2 linked regions of the Anolis sagrei genome follow. The protein of the gene in region 2 binds, or shares a complex with, the protein of the main gene of each other region. Links are inferred from orthologs where the notes say so. Each region holds a gene or a part of one and is shown on either strand. Other genes may lie near its edges. The genes, in order: RPF2 and RRS1.

Evidence for each region.
Region 1: RRS1 (region 2) and RPF2 share a complex: the UniProt entries of both Homo sapiens proteins name them as parts of the hexameric 5S RNP precursor complex. The link is inferred for Anolis sagrei from reciprocal best matches to the Homo sapiens genes RRS1 and RPF2.

What each region holds. Positions count from the first base shown.
Region 1 is NC_090021.1:93,051,726-93,060,205, reverse strand, and holds the start of RPF2 (ribosome production factor 2 homolog), read left to right. Parts: upstream 1-4,822; 5' UTR 4,823-4,867; coding exon of another isoform or gene 4,868-4,901; coding exon 4,902-4,924; intron 4,925-7,531; coding exon 7,532-7,664; intron 7,665-8,480. UniProt on the Homo sapiens protein: Involved in ribosomal large subunit assembly. May regulate the localization of the 5S RNP/5S ribonucleoprotein particle to the nucleolus.
Region 2 is NC_090024.1:45,534,771-45,543,300, forward strand, and holds RRS1 (ribosome biogenesis regulatory protein homolog), read right to left. Parts: upstream 3,598-8,530; 5' UTR 3,537-3,597; coding exon 2,454-3,536; 3' UTR 230-2,453; downstream 1-229. UniProt on the Homo sapiens protein: Involved in ribosomal large subunit assembly. May regulate the localization of the 5S RNP/5S ribonucleoprotein particle to the nucleolus.

The sequences.
Region 1 (8,480 bases), on a different chromosome or scaffold from region 2:
GGGCAGCAAAATGAAGCCAACCATAAAAGGGGGTAGAACTTTCAGCAAGTTTAGGAGATTTCTATGGCATGCATAAAAAATCTCCTAAACTTTCGTAGACGACCTGATTCTGGGTCGGGGTTTCGTACGTAGCAGAGCAGCTCCCTCGCTGCGATCTATTGAAAGTCAGCCCTCTTATTGGATGAATAATACAACAAATGAGGAAAAAAAACCCATGAGCTGCTCCAATCAAAACGTGGAGTCAACAGAGAAATCCCCACTTAGTAACACTTGTAGAAAGTCTTCCATCCATATGTGTTAGAGTTTATTTATGTAAAGAAAGCTAGAAAAGAAGCAACTGGTTCAGCAAGGGCTGTTTATGCTCTGCCCCTCAGAAGATATGTATTGAAGGGAATCTGGGAAATTAAAGGCAAGGAGGCAGTTACTGAGATACTGGTTGGATTTGAGTCCATAAAAGTTTATCAGATCCTGAGAGTATATCCGTTGACACCTCCCCTTTGAATCCCCCCTACCCATTTCCAGAATGAAATCTGCTCTTTAAAGCCTCTGATCACTTTGGAGACAATAATACATAGAGGAAAAGCACTTCCAGATCAGCACAGTATCTTTCAACATAAAACAGGAAAATGTGCAAAGCAAGAAGACAGGTAGAGCTAGACAATCACACTTTATGAAAATGCTGGGATAGGAGAAAATATAGAACTCAGAGGCGTGTTTATTAAAGAGTTATGTGGTGTCTGTTGGGAAAAGGGAAATCAAACATTCTGAATACAGCTCTTGGGAGCTTAAAACGTGGATGAAGTCCAGAGACACATTTTTAAGTGATATATTAATACACTGTGTGGGATCAGCATAATTATCTGTTATAGAACTTTATATTTTCTACTCTATATGTTTTCACTTAATATTGATAAGGAGGATTCAGTCAAGCATTACTACATTGAACCCCAATATAGTGGTCATCCTGAAGGCCAGCCACCACATCTATGGGGAGATCCTAAGGATAAGAGGAAAAGGCGAGCGATAGGTGCCCAAAGATTGGAATTCAGAGTGGATGACTTCCATCTTTTTCTCACATACACACTGTTTGGAAGTTATGTGAACCACAACAGACCATGGGGGCTGAAAATTGGCCTTTGGACTTTTACTCTGTCCAGTTGTCATTTAGACTATCCTGAAATGAGATGAAACTAAGGTGCAGGGTTATGCAATAGGAAACATTGCCCTTTTCTTCTGTGTTTTGCCCCTTTTCAACACAACAGGAAAGGATATACCACAATTGTTCTTAAGATCTAAGCTGTTGAGTTCAAGCAGTCAGGACTCTGCTGGCTTCCCAGCTGTCCGTTAATTTACATGCATTTGGTCCTTGTTTTTCTACCCTTCAGGTTAGCAAAATAGCTAACACAAAAAGTATATATATTAAAAACAACATCTCATAGGACTGAAGGGTTTTGACTTATCCCACAGTTATGTACATTCTTTGACGTTACCAACAGGCTTCTAACATTGACTAGTCCAACAAGGCTGAAGTTACTTTAGTGCAGGAGTGCAACTTGAGAAGTTATAGACTGGAACTACCATGATTCTTAACAATGTTCCCATACTTACCTATTTTTAACTGCTGTTTTGTCTTTATAGTATGCCCAAGACAAAATAGTTTCAGAATTTTCTAAAACATGCTGGATGAGTTAATTAATAAATACAGTCACTCCACCAATTTTGTTTTTTATCCTATATTTTGTTTCTAGTATCTCTCTCCCTTTTCCCTCTGTCCTTGAACAAATTCTTCAAAGACAGGCTCCAATATGAAGCAGCTGAACAAAAATGAATAAAGTGATTTACATTACCTCTCAGTTAGTTTGATAAACCTGTTTGTTTGTCCTTCTTCCTTTTCTGTTTTGGCTAAATGCCGTACCCAACCACACAAGTATATCATAATAAGCCCACTGAAACTACCATCCATGCCTCTAATTAATTGGGCCATGGTACATCAAAGGTTATGCCGTATGAAAGATCTTGAAGGTGCCACACTGAAAACTGAGATGGCCCCTACACCTCCAAGAATTGTAAAGAGGAGGTAATTTCAGCAGGCATTACATCAGAACTTTCTAAAAAATTCACATTGGTGACACACCATTTTTAGACATGGAGCACTCTCTAGCCTTTAAGCCAGTGACACTACCTGCTACCTGTTTTTGTTATTTTGGGGGGTCCCAAGTGCCCTAAAACACTTGTGAATGGATACCACCCCTAATTTAAGAGCACCCAAACTCCCTGCCCCTCTGAGGCTGGATTTACTCTGCCATATAATCAAGATTATTTGATCTGAACTATGTGGGGCTGGATCTACACTGCCCTATATTGCAGGATCTGGTCCCAGGTTATCTGATTTGAACTGGATTATATGAGTCGCTGCCAGATAGTCTGGGACAAGAAAATGATCTAAGGCCTCTGAGTTATGTAAGTTCACACTGCCACACATTCCGGTTCAAAGATGATATTTTGCAATTTTCTGCCTTGATATTCTGAGTTATATGGCTGTGTGGAAAGGCTCTGAGGCCCCTTCCACACAGTTGAACAAAATCCCACAGTACCTGCTCTGAACTGGGTTATATTGTTGTCGAATATGCCCCCCACCCCCAATAAAAGATAGTTTATAATTTGGGAATTCATAGTTTTGCCAAGGACATCAGGCTGGAATGATAAAAGTTAAGTTTTGGCAAATTTGCAAAAGGACTAATAACCACAACATGTTAGATGGTGTGTACATTTAATCAAGATTTATGCCCTATATTTCACATATTTAAAACAAAAGGTAACTGCTATATTTACTGGAAACCCTGTCACAAAAAGCCAATTTTTCCCAATCCTGCATGCTCCCCTTTTCCTTTATGAACTCTATATATGCCCTACATCCCCAATTATTATATGTATGTCTGTATAAAATATCAAGCAAGGTGACCTCTTCATGAACTATGACCAGTATCTCAGGACTCAGGTATTGCAGAATTGTTGTTGTTGTTGTTGTTGTTGTTGTTGTTATTATTATTTACGATACTTATATACCTGGAAATTTCCTGGGTCTTCAACCAAGTTTGGGAGGGGTGGTGTTGAATGCTCTCATTAAGGAGGCCAGACTTGGTGGAGGTGGTTGACAGGGGCTGTAGGCTATTGAAGGCTGCTCTGCCCTCTGCTGTGCTCTTTGCTTCAGTGTGAGCTAGGAGGCAGGTTTCAACCCCTCCCCCCCCCCCCCCGAATTTTTTTTCTGGCTACGGCCCTGCCAGCCTCTGCCTTGGCAGGGCCCCCTAAAATCGTGCTCTGCATCAATATGGCAGTGTGGACTTAGATAACCCAGTTCAAAACAGATATTGTGGGATTTCCTGATATTCCGGGTTATATGGTCGAGTGAAAGGGCCCTGGGATCAGATTCTGGCATATAAGGTCCAGCCTGAGTCTACATTCCCATATAATCCAGTTCAAAGCACATGATCTGAATGTATATGGCACTGTAGAAGGGGCCTCATTTGGGGTCCTTCCACACAGCCCTACACTGCAGAATATCAAGGCAGGAAATCCCACAAGATCTGAGTGTGGACTCAGATAACCCAGTTCAAAGGAGATATTGTGGGATTTTCTGCTTTGATATTCTGGGATATAGGGCTGTGTGGAAGGGCCCTATGTTATCTAAGTCCACACTGCCACACATTCCAGTTCAAAGCAGATATTGTGGGATTTTCTACTTTGATATTCTGGGATATATGGCTGTGTGGAATGTCCCTATGTTATCTAATGTTATTATTTTTATTGTTTTGTATTACTTCTTGTTATTATTTTTATTATTGATGTATTGTGGGCTCGGCCTCATGTAAGCCGCACCGAGACCCTTGGGGAGATGGTAGCGGGGAATAAATAAAGTATTATTATTATTGGGTTGTTGTAGGTCTTTTTGGGCTATATGGCCATGGTCTAGAGACATTCTCTCCTGACGTTTCGCCTGCATCTATGGCAAGCATCCTCAGAGGTAGTGAGGTCTGTTGGAACTAGGAAAAGGGAGTTTATATATCTGTGGAATAACCAGGGTGGGACAAAGGACTCTTGTCTGCTGGAGCTAGGTGTGACTGTTTTAACTGACACCTTGATTAGCATATAATGGCTTGACCATGGCCATATAGCCTGAAAAACCTACAACAACCCCATTATTATTATTATTATTATTATTATTATTATTATTATTATTAGAGTCCACAGTGCCATACATTCCAGTTCAAAGCAGATATTGTGCAATGTTGTGCCTTGATATTCTGTGATATAGGGCTGTGTGCTTTTCTCTTGTTTTCTGTCACATTGTTTACCAGCCAATTTCATAGATGTCTACTTAAGAGATAAGTCCCACGGAGTTTAACAGGACTTGCTTCCAGGTAATTATGCTCTTAATACCTGATGGAAGGCTTACTGTAAGCATCCTTCGAATGTCAATTCAATACCGGAAGTGTTGATAAGTCTACTTCGAACTCTACTCTATGACGTGTTCGTCTCCATAGCCCCGCATTTTTTCTAGAGGTAAAAAGTGACCATTTTCAACCGATAGTTCAGGTTTCCTTTCGGATGCCGCCTTGTTTGGAAAAGGAGAGTCTGAACTGTGCTGAACAGAAGTGCGGTGCTATCTTAACAGAGACCCTTTCTTGGAGTCCAGATTGGACTCTCGGATGTGGATACAGTTTACGATATAGAGGCAGGAGTGTAAATGTGTTGCAAAGGGGGGGAGGGGGTTAGAATCCAAGTTGCGAGGAGCTGAGATTTTCCTATCTCTACGTTCACGTTCCGGATGTGACGACACAAAAAGCTACATTTCCGGAGTACTTGTTTAATGGTCCCACGTGGAGGCAGCAGAAGTTTCAGGCATGGAGGCGTTGGATCGAGTAGAGTGAGTCTCACCGTTGCTTGTGTAGGCCTGGTCAAACTTGGGCCCTCTCTCCAGGTGTTTTGGACTCCAACTCCCATCATTCCTAACAGCCTCAGGCCCCTTCCTTTTCCCCCTCAGCCGCTTAAGCTGAGGGGGAAAAGCGGCTTAAGCCGCTTAAGCGGCTGAGGGGGAAAAGGAAGGGGCCTGAGGCTGTTAGGAATGATGGGAGTTGGAGTCCAAAACACCTGGAGAGAGGGCCCAAGTTTGACCAGGCCTGTGCTTGTGTCACATTGAACTTTGGGTTGTTTGTTTACTTTAAATTTAGTTATTTCATGTATTTATATGCTGTCTTTAAAATAGGACTCGAGTCTGCTTCCAGAGATATATGTATGTCATAATAAATTGTGGCAAGTTCTTGGTGGTATGGGCATCCCAAATCACCTTGTCTTTCTCCTGAGGAATCTGTATAAGGAGCAAGTAGCAAGAGTAAGAACTGACCCTGGAACAACAGACTGGTTCAAGATTGGGAAAGGCGTACGGCAGAGTTGTATACTCTCACACAACCTATTCAACTTGTATGCAGAATACATCATACAATATGCAGGGGTTGATAAATACAAGGCTGGGGTGAAAATTGCTGGAAGAAACATTAACAACCTTAGATATGCAGATGATACCACTTTGATAGCCGAAAGCGAGGAGGAGCTGAGGAGCCTTCTAATCAAGGTGAAAGAAGAAAGCGCAAAAGCTGGGTTGCAGTTAAACATAAAAAAAAACAAGATTGTGGCAACCAGATTGATTGATAACTGGCAAATGGAAGGAGAAAACGTGGAGGCAGTGACAGACATTGTATTTCTAGTTGGAAAGATTACTGCAGACGCAGACTGCAGCCAGGAAATCAGAAGACACTTATTTCTTGGGAGGAGAGCAATGACTAATCTCGATAAAATAGTAAAGAGTAGAGACATCACACTGGCAACAAAGATCCGCATAGGTAAAGCAATGATATTCACCGTAGTCACCTATGGATGTGAGAGCTGGACCTTAGGGAAGGCTGAGCGAAGGAAGACAGATGCTTTTGAACTGTGGTGCTGGAGGAAAGTTCTGAGAGTGCCTTGGACCGCAAGAAGATCCAACCAGTCCATACTTCAGGAAATAAACCCCTACTGCTCATTGGAGGGAAGGATATTAGAGACAAAGATGAAGTACTTTGGCCACATCATGAGAAGTCAGGAAAGCTTAGAGAAGACATTGATACTGGGGAAAATGGAAGGAAAAAGGAAGAGGGGCCAACCAAGGGCAAGATGGATGAATGGGGTCCTTGAAGTGACTAGCTTGACCTTGAAGGAGCTGGGGGTGGTGACAGCTGACAGGGAGCTCTGGCGTGGGCTGGTCATAGAATCAAAGAGTTGGAAGAGACCTCATGGGCCATCCAGTCCAACCCCCTGCCAAGAAGCAGGAATATTGTATTCAAATCACCCCTGACAGATGGCCATCCAGCCTCTGTTTAACCATGAGGTCCATGAGGTCACGAAGAGTTGGAAGTGACTGAACAAATGAACAACCACAACATATACATACATCCAGATATGTGCTTGCTTTCAAGTTGCTTATCCACTTGTGGAAGCCCCATTCATTTCATGGGGTTTTCTTAGGCAGAATATTCAGAAGAATATCCCTTCCTCTGAAACACAGCCCTACAGCAGTCTTCGGTGGTCTCCCATCCAAGGCTGAGCCCTGCTTAACTTCCAAAATCTATCGCCTTTAGTATGCCAGCTGTTGACCGAGGGATGAATTTGTTTTGTGAGCCACCCCAAAACCAGCGTTTTTGGAATAGTTATATGAAAAATAGTTATATTTTTGTGAAAATAACCATGATGAAGGTAACTGGAAGGGACAAACACATCTACAAGGAACATTAGCCAAAATGTCAGTCAGGTTGCAAACTGCCTTTGGTGTCGATTAGGAGAAAAACTGGTCAATAGGTAAAGATAAAGGTTTTCCCTTGACATTAAGGGCAGTCGTGTCCGACTCTGGGGGTTGATGCTCATCTCCATTTCTAAGCCGAAGAGCCGGCATTGTCTGTAGACACCTCCAAGGTCATGTGGTCAGCATGACTGCATGGAGCACTGTTACCTTCCCGTGGGAGCAGTCAATACAGAAGTAAATGAAAACAGGCAGTCCCCAGGTTACAAACAAGACAGGTTCTGTAGGTTTGTTCTTAAGTTGAATCTGTGTCTAAATCAGAACAAGCAATTTTTAAAAAGTGTAATTCCAGCCATTTTTTTAAGTTTTGGAAAGGATAGGGAAGGGTTAATACCCCTGTGGTGTTTGCTTTGCTGTCTTGCTACTGTTGGAAAGTTTTCATCTCACTTTTTGTCCCTGTGATAATTGGATTTTGAAAAATGTGGTTTGTTTTGGAAACAAGGATTGGTGAGAAAGCTTCAGTGGAGACACCTTTTCCCCATGACAACTCTTCCAGGAGTGGATTTCCTTCCGAGGGGTAGATTTCTTCCACTTCCTGTTGTCTCACCTCTGTTCTCAATGTTTGTAACTCAAGGACTGACTGTAAGTACATTCAAATACTTGGTGAAAGTTAACATTGTGACAATAATATTCTCATGGCAGAAAACCCAAAACCAAGAGGGCAAAAAGGTTTCTTGAAAAAAGGGAGCCAAAGCTGACAGAAAATACCAAGAATGCTATGCTCATAAAAGGTGGAAATGCAAATACAACCATCACCGAAGTACTAAAAGACATTGTAAGTATGTTTGGGAATATTTGTGGAGCTGGGGCTATGTTCTGTTGTGTTACATAGAAAGGTGATTTAAAGTACTGATTCTCAAACTTTAGCCCCCTAGAGCACTGTTTCTTAAGGTTGGGACTGTGGGTCCCAACCTTAAATAGCGTCCCCTTAGCTAATTGCTGGGGTCACGAAAAATTTTGAAACAGTGAAAGGTTTCTCCAGTCATTTACACAAATCTGTTAGCAACTACATGCACTGTTTTACAATGGACTCTGCAGAAAATGCTTTGGCTGTATTCCACAAAAAAAAGAAAAATCAGCCTGTTTAGCAAGCCTTGCAAATGGTGGTCTCTTTTCAATATATGTTTGATTTTTATACCTATTTAATATACTTATATATCTGGGGTCTTTTAAACTTATACACTTATATAATTGGGCCCTTTTAAAATATTGAGCGAACATGCATTCTATATTGGTGGGAATTGTTCTGGATCAAAGAGGAGGAATTCTGATTGATGGGAATAATTCAGCAAATCTGGGAGAAGTTGTAAAGTTTATAGTCATTGGCCCCTGTGGTGAATGTTAACTGGTTTAACTAGGAAAATTCAAGATGCACTTCTGAGGCATTGGATGTTTTATACCTTGCCTATTTGCAGCAGAAATTTCAATTGCTGTCTGTTTTGAGGGAGCAAAACAGGACTAGCACTTTTTGCTGGCATGCAAATCTATTACCATGTATTTAAAGAGAATAGATTTATTTATATATTTACAATATTTCTATCCCACCTTTCTCAAGTCAGAAGGCTATTCAAGGCGGCTTACAAATTGGCAA
Region 2 (8,530 bases):
TGGCCATGTTCCAAAAGCATTCCGGAATGTTTCTGGAACATGGTCACACAGCCTCGAAAACTCACAGCAACCCAAAAGATGACTTGTTGTACTATGTATGAAGTCTGGGATTACTTGATTTCTCCTGTATTTGCATTATCTGTATTACAATATCCATATTTTATGGGAGACGCACTTTAATTGCCAACGACAGAGGTCACTTCAAATCTTATAAAAGACAAAGCAAAAATAAATAAATAAAAGGATTTTATTTTGAAGAGTTTGGCACTTAATATCCCAATAATAAAAAATAGAGAATTATTGACATCTCCAGAAAAATGAAAAAGACCAGATCTTTACAATTCTTCCTCAAAGATTTACAGACTAATACTGCCTTCAAATAATAGGCACACGGTAATAATGACAAGCACACTGTGGTAATGAGTTTTCATTTTGGTAAACGAAAACACCCTCGGGCCCTTTTATCAAGACTTGAGTCTATTTCAGTCTGAGTCATTGCTATTACCCATCTTGGAGGGACAAGTTGCTTATCTCCCCTTTAATCAGGTTCACGCAAGTGTGGGCAAATTTGGGCCCTCTTGAGTGTTTTGGACTTCGATTTCCACCATTCCTCGCAGCCTCAGGGAGAAAAGGAGTCTGGGGTTGTTAGGAATGGTGGGAATCAAAGTCCAAAACACTCAAGAGGGCCCAAGCTTGCCCATGCCTGTCTTACAGGTTCAAGACCGCAAGAAGGCACATCACAACATCACGGGACACTGTCTTTATTATGTTCCGAAAACCGAAAGCCACTGTTTTCTTATTTTGGGAGCAAAAGTACATGTGCCAGCTTCCACTTCTTCCTCCTGGCCTTCCTTCCTCCTATATAGGAAGCAAACTTCCTCCTGAATTATGATAACTGGACCAAGGATCTGCTACTTTGGAGGCATCATTGTGACTCATTGGGAAATAAAAGTAGGACTTCAGGGGAAAGACAAAAGCTATAGGTGCATCTACACCAGGCCTGGGGAAACTGGGAATCCTGGGAGTTTGGTGACTCTATGGAAGGCATAGGCTAACTTGGGTCCTCTGTTTTGGTTTAAGTGGCTGAGCGGGAAAAGGAAGGAGCCTGAGGCTGTTAGGAATGGTGGGAGTCAAAGTCCAAAACACACGAAGGACCCAAGTTTGCCCAGGAATAGTGGAAGCTGAAGTTCAAAACACCTGGAAGTTTGCCCATGGCTGTGCTATAGGTTCAGGACTGCAAGAAGGCACATCACAACATCCCAGGACACTGGCATGGACAAACTTGAGTCCTCCAAATTTTGGCTGGAGGAAGGGGCCTAAGGTTGTTAGAAATGGTGGGAGTTGAAGTCCAAAACCCCTGGAGGGTCCACGTTTGCCCAGAAATGGTGGGAGCTGAAGTCCAAAACACCCGGAAGTTCGCCCATGCCTATTCTACAGGTTCAAGACTGCAAGAAGGTGCATCACAACATCCCAGGACATTGGCATGGGCAAACTTGGGTCCTCCGGGTGTTTTGGCTTAAGCAACTGAGAGGGGAAAGAAAGGGGCCTAAGGCTGTTAGGGATGGTGGGAGTCGAAGTCCAAAACACATGGAGGACCCAAGTTTGCTCAAGAATGGTGGGAGCTGAAGTCCAAAACACCTGGAAGTTTGCCCATGGCTGTGCTATAGGTTCAGGACTGCAAGAAGGCACATCACAACATCCCAGGACACTGGCATGGACAAACTTGACTCTTCCAAATTTTGGTTGGAGGAAGGGGCCTAAGGCTGTTAGGAATGGTGGGAGTTGAAGTTCAAAACCCCTGGAGGGTCCACGTTTGCCCAGGAATGGTGGGAGCTGAAGTCCAAAACACCTGGGACTTTGCCCATACCCATTCTACAGGTTCAAGACTGCAAGAAGGTGCATCATAACATCCCAAGACAGTGGCATGGGCAAACTTGGGTCCTCCAGGTGTTTGGGCTTAATGACTGAGAGGGAAAAGGAAGGGGCCTAAGGCTGTTAGGAATTGTGGGAGTCGAAGTCCAAAACACATGGAGGACCCAAGTTTGCTCAAAAATGGTGGCCGCTGAAATCTAAAACACCTGGAAGTTTCCCCATTCCTATCCAACAGGTTCAAGACTGCAAGAAGGTAAATCACAACATCCCAGGACACTGGCATGGGCAAACTTGGATCCTCCAGGTGTTTGGGCTTAAGCGACTAAGAGGGAAAAAGGAAGGGGCCTAAGGCTGTTAGGAATGGTGGGAGTCGAAGTCCAAAACACATGGAGGACCCAAGTTTGCTCAAGAATGGTAGGTGCTTAAGTCGAAAACACCTGAAAGTTTGCCCATGCCTATTCAACAGGTTCAAGACTGCAAGGAGGTGAATCACAACATCCCAGGACACTGTCTTTATTGTGGTCAGAAAACCCAAGGCCACTGTTTTCCTATTTTGAGAGCAAAAGTACATGTGCGGGCTTTCACTTCTTCCTCCTGGCCTTCCCACCGCCGCCTCCTCCTCCTCTTCCTGCGGCCTTCTTGCCCTTGGGGCCCCGAGGCCTCTGCTGCTGCTTGCTGGCCCTCTTCCCGCGCTGGCCCTTCTTCTTCCCCTTCCCTCCTCCTCGGGCCTTGGCCTCCTCGTCCTCCTCCCGGAGCTGCTTCCCGACAGCGCGGGCGATGTTAATGAGGGGCTTCTTGCTGCCCAGGCTTTTGGCCAGCTCCAGGTGGCGGGCCTTCTCTGCTTGGAGGTCCCCGAGCAGGGGCTGGAAGTGCCTCTTCCTCCCGGGGCTGCGCTGAGGCGCGTGGGGGTCCTCGCGGGGCAGGCGGGGCTGGAAGCGGCCCTTGGAGGCGGTGGCGGCGCGGGCGAGGGTGGCGGCGCGGGCGAGCTCGGCCTTGTCCTGCCTGCCCGTGGGGTGCATCTCCGCCTTGTGGGCGCGGGCCAGGTTGCGGAGGCGGTTGAGCTCGTTGCGGGCCACGCGCTCGCGCTTCTCGCTCCTGCTGCGCGCGTAGGGGTCCTCGGAAGGGTCAGCCGAGTCGGGCACCTCCATCATCCAGGGCTCCTTGCCCCCCGCGCGCTGGTAGCCCCACCGCCGGCGCCACTCCTTGGCCTGCTCGTCCCAGACCAGAGAGCCGCGCTTCTTCCTGTTGGGCCGGATCCCCTTGAGGCGGGCGAACTGCTCCCACCGCGTGAGGGGCTTGGCCTTGGGCAGGGGCTTCTCGCGGGGCAGGCGCGTGGCGGGCTCCGGCAGGCGCGCCACCACGGGGCCCGCGCCGCCTTCCGACCGCTCCGAGGGCAGCGCCCACAGGTGGGCCGCCAGCAGCTGCGCGTTGTCGCGCGCCAGGCACCGCAGGGCCGCCTCGCGCTCAGACTCCGCGGCTTTCCCCGACGCCACGGCGCGCGGGGCAGGGTTCCTGTCCAGCGCCAGCAGGTTGCCCGCGTCGAACTCCAGCTCCAGCTCCTTCTGCACCGTCACGCCCCGACGCCGATGCTCGTCCGCCTCGCGCTCCTCCGCGCGCGCCAGCAGATCCTCCACGGACACCGTCGCCGCGCCGGCAGCCGCCATCTTGGATCTCCCTCTCCGCACGCTAGGAGCTATCAGGCTCTACTTCCGGTGCGTCACCGGATGTACCTTCTCAAGCGAGATTCCCCCAATGCACAGCCCACTTTGTAAAAACTACAGTTCCCAGCATGCATCTCTCTGCTAGGGTAGGTTCTCACGGGAGGGGGATGTTGTGGAGCACTGAGATTATGTTTGCTGCACCAGCCCGTTATATATTTATTTATTTGCGGCATTTATATTTATTATCTACATACACACATTCAATATATTATATTATTAGCATAGCACAATATCAGTATTATACGTATATTACTATTTTGTACAATACCATTATATTGTAATATTATTAGTAATATTACATGTAATATTAAATATATATTATATTATTGTATTATTATTAGTTTTGTATTGCATCACATAATATTATAAATATTATACACATATACAATTTGTTTATTTATTTATTTGGGGTGCTTCTACCCCGCCCTTCTCAACCCCCTAGGGGGGACTCAGGGCGGCTTACACAAGGCACAATTTGATGCCTAACAATTACAACATACAATACAATATACAACACACAAATTTACCATATAAAATCACAGTTATAACTAATTAAAACAATTGACAGTATACTAGCAGCAATAAAAACATCTTGTGGTCAATGTTCACCAAATCCAAGTCCGTAAACCATTTAGCATCGTCATTGTCCTTTCCTACTCTGGTCATTATTGGTTGTCTTTGTCCATTTGCCAGCTTACCTGAAGGCCTGGTCCCACATCCAGGTTTTTAGCTTCCTTCTGAAGGAGAGGAGGGATGTTGATGTCCTAATTTCCCCGGGGAGTGCATTCCACAGGCGAGGGGCCACCACCGAGAAGGCCCTGTCCCTCGTCCCCACCAGTCTTGCTTGTGATAAAGGTGGGGCCGAGAGCAGGGCCTCCTCAGCAGATCTTAACTCCGAGGTGGGACGTAGAAGGAGATATGTTTGGACAGGTACGCTGGGCCGGAGCCGTAAAGGGTTTTGTAGGTCAAAAGCAGCACTTTGAATTGTGCTCGGAACTGGATCGGCAGCCAGTGGAGCTGACAGAGCAGGGGGGTGGTGTGCTCCCTGTATGACGCTCCGGTGAGTAATCTGGCCACCCCCCGTTGGACTAATTGAAGTTTCTGAACAGTCTTCAAAGGCAACCCCACGTAGAGTGCGTTGCAGTAATCTAATTGGGATGTGGACCACTGTGGCCAGATCCGGCTTCCCAAGGTACGGGCGCAACTGGCGCACAAGTTTTAATTGTGCAAAAGCTCTCCCGACCACCGCTGAGACCTGGGGTTCCAGGCTCAGCGATGAGTCCAGGATCACTCCCAAGCTGCGAACCTGCGTCTTCAGGGGGAATGTAACCCCGTCTAACACAGGCTGTAACCCTATGCCCTGTTCGGCCTTGAATGTCTTCAAAAAGAGGCTGGACAGCTACCTGCAAGAGATCCATGTGGTTGGACCTGATGGCCCATATGGTTCCTCCTAACTATTATTCCTTGATTGAATCAATTCACGGCTGGTGGATTTCTTCATTGTACTATAATATAATAATGATATGCTAATAATATATCCCTCCTCCCTCTGACTTCCTCTCACATATTTATACATGGCTATCATGTCTCCTCTCAGCCTTCTCTTCTTCAGGCTAAACATGCCCAGCTCTTTAAGCCGCCCCTCATAGGGCTTGTTCTCCAGACCCTTGATCATTTTAGTCGCCCTCCTCTGGACACATTCCAGCTTGTCAACATCTCCCTTCAATTGTAGTGCCCAGAACTGGACACAGTATTCCAAGTGTGCTCTGACCAAGGCACAACAGAGGGATAGCATGACTTCCCTGGATCTAGACACTATACTCCTATGGATGCAGGTCAAAATCCCGTTGGCTTTTTGTCCCACCGCAAACGTTTCGTCTTAAAGAGCTGTGCATGTTTAATATATTGTGGAAACGTCAGGAGAGAATGCTTCTGGAATATGGCCATACAGCCCGAAAAACTTACACCAATCCACTGGGCATATTTAATCTACAGAAGGGAAGGCCGAGAGGAAACATGAGGGCCATGTATCAAGATGTGAGAGGAAGTCATAGGGAGGAGGAAGCAGGCGTGTTTTTTGCTGCTCTGGAGACTAGTGCCCCTTCCACACAGCTGAGTAAAAATCCCACACTATCCACTTTGAACTGGGATATATGGTAGTGTGGACTCAGATAACCCAGTTCAAAGCAGATCGGTAAAGGTAAAAGTTTTCCCTGACATTGTCTAGTCGTGCCAGGCTCTGGAGGTTGGTGCTAATTTCCATGTCTAAGCTGAAGAGCCAGTGTTGCCCATAAACACCTCCAAGGTCATGTGGCCAGCATGACTGCATGGAGTTCCATTACCTTCCCACTGGAGCAGTACCTATTTGCATGTTTTCGAACTGCTAGGTTGGCAGAAGCTGGGGCTAACAGCGGGAGCTCATCCCATTCCCTGGATTTGAACCAGCAACCTTTTGGTCAGCAAGTTCAGCAGCTCAGTGGTTTAATCCACTGCTCCACCAGGGGCGCCACAAAGCAGATATTGTAGGTTATTCTGTGTTGATATTCTGTGTTATATTGCTGTGTGGAAGGACCCTAGGACACGGAACAATGGCTCCAAACTACAGGAAAGGAGATTCCACCTGAACATGAGGAAGAACTTCCTAACTGTGAGAGCTGTTCAGAAGTGGAACTTTCTGCTCCAGAGTGTGGTAGAATCTCTTTCTTTGGGAGCTTTTAAGCAGAGGCTGGATGGTTATCTGTCAGGAGTTATTTGAATGCGATTTTCCTGCTTCTTGGCAGGGGTTGGACTGGATGGCCCATGAGGTCTCTTCCAACTATGATTCTATTTTATCTAGTCCATGAGGTGTTTGGGATTTTGACTCCCAGAAGTCACAGCTGCCTTTGGCCAATGTCAGAGTTTCTGGGAGTGGAAGTCCCAATAGTCTGGATAGAGCAGAGTTTGGGAAACCCTGGAACCTCAATCAGAGGCTGATGCCGGATGAGAAACTCCCTCCTGGGCACACAGAAGACTGGGCAGTTTGGCAGGTGCTGAACAGGCTGTGGTCTGGCACCACGAGATGCAGAGCTAACCTTTAGAAATGGGGCTTCAAAGCTGAGTCCACAACATATGACATGCAAACCACAGACCACCTACTACAATGCAGTCTGAGCCCTGCCATATGCACAACATAGGACCTTCTTACAGTGACACCAGAGGCACTCAAAGTGTCCAGCTTCTGGTCAAAGGAAATTTAGCATAATGCCAAGTTTTAAACTTTGTTAGCAGTTTTTTAAAATAAATTATAAGTATAACACTGATTAACATTAATACAGATGGATCACTGTGGCTGAGTGCTTAGGGAAACCTGGGAGTTGTACTTTTACAAGCTCTTCTGCCTTCTTTGATGTATGCTGTGGATTACAGTTTGATAACTGCCGTGACTCAGTTCTGAAGAATCCTGACCAAGAGTGTTATGCCTTACCAAACTACAACTCCCAGTATTCCCATAGCATCGAGCCCTGGCACTTTAAAATTATGTCAACCTTCATTAATTCTGCAGTATAAAAGCAACACTTGTGGTTCAATTTTTTTTAAAAAGTTTCTTTGTGATGACAGTTTACATTTTTGAAAAAGTTTCCTTTGTGTTTATAGTTTGTTTTATTTTTTGGTTTTGAAAGAAAAATAAGTTATGTGACTTTATCATCTGGATTGACATGTGAATGCCTATGGTACTTGGAATTTTGACTATTATAATTCCAGGTTCTAAAAAACCTTTGACCACTCAAATGAAATGTTTTGGGCAACACTCAGAATTGATAAGAAACACTCTTTATTTTTCTAGATGAAGTACTGTAGTGTTCTAGATGAAGTACTGTACCCAGAAACCATCACATTTGCAGTGTATTTGGAGGATGCTATCACAGCATTTATATACATTGAAGCTGTATATACTACATATATAACATTTAGTAAATACAATATTTTAAAGAACCTGGTTTCCCCTAAAAGTCAAAGCTGAAGTGTGACTGCATGGACTGCGTTTTTTCTGTCAATCCAACTCTTTTGTAAATGTGATTTCAAACAGATTTTATTTTGATAATACAAGAAATAATAATGTATTGTAGATCAAATACCATAGTTGCAACTTTGCATTTTAAAATCAGTTCTTAATAAAAGTTTCTCATATTTAAAGTTTGTTTTTGCAACAGTATTCTTTAATGACCACAAGATGGTACTGTGCTTGGAGAATTCATTTTTTCCCTTGCTTGATGTGTCATGTTTTCAACTAGAATTCAACTAAGTATTAAGAAGAATTAAGGTGCATCTACACCAGAATTATTGCAGTTTGACACCACTTTAACTGCCATGGCTCAATATTGGGGATCACGAGAATTATAGTTTTACAAGGCCTTTAGTCTTTTCTGCCACATTGTGCTGGTACTTCACAAAACTACAGCTCTCAGATTTCCATTGCATTGAACAGTTATGTAGTGTCAAACTGCATTCATTCTACAATGTAGATGCAGCCCTAGTTAGCAGATTGCCTTCTGCAGTGCTGGTAGTTATACAGTATATTCCCTGCAATGTGGTTGGACATCAGAGATTGCATCCTCATTCAGCCATGGAAACCCACTGGGTGACCTTGGGCAAGTCACACTCTCTCAGCATCAGAGAAGGGCAAAGGCAGCTTATCTTGTCAAGAAAATCCTCAGGTTAATTTTACAGAGAAACACACATGTAGCTGAGTAAAATGAATGTTTTCATTTTATATTTTATATAGACTGCAAACTTGTTAAAAGGTTCTGTCAAATTACTAACCCTGCCTGTTATGAATTTCAACTGTCCCTTATTGCTGTTTTGAAAACCTGTGGCAAGACTATATGTGGAACACATAACAAAGATGGAATTACAGTGTGTCGCCTCTAAGGGTGTATCTACACTGTAAAATGAATAGT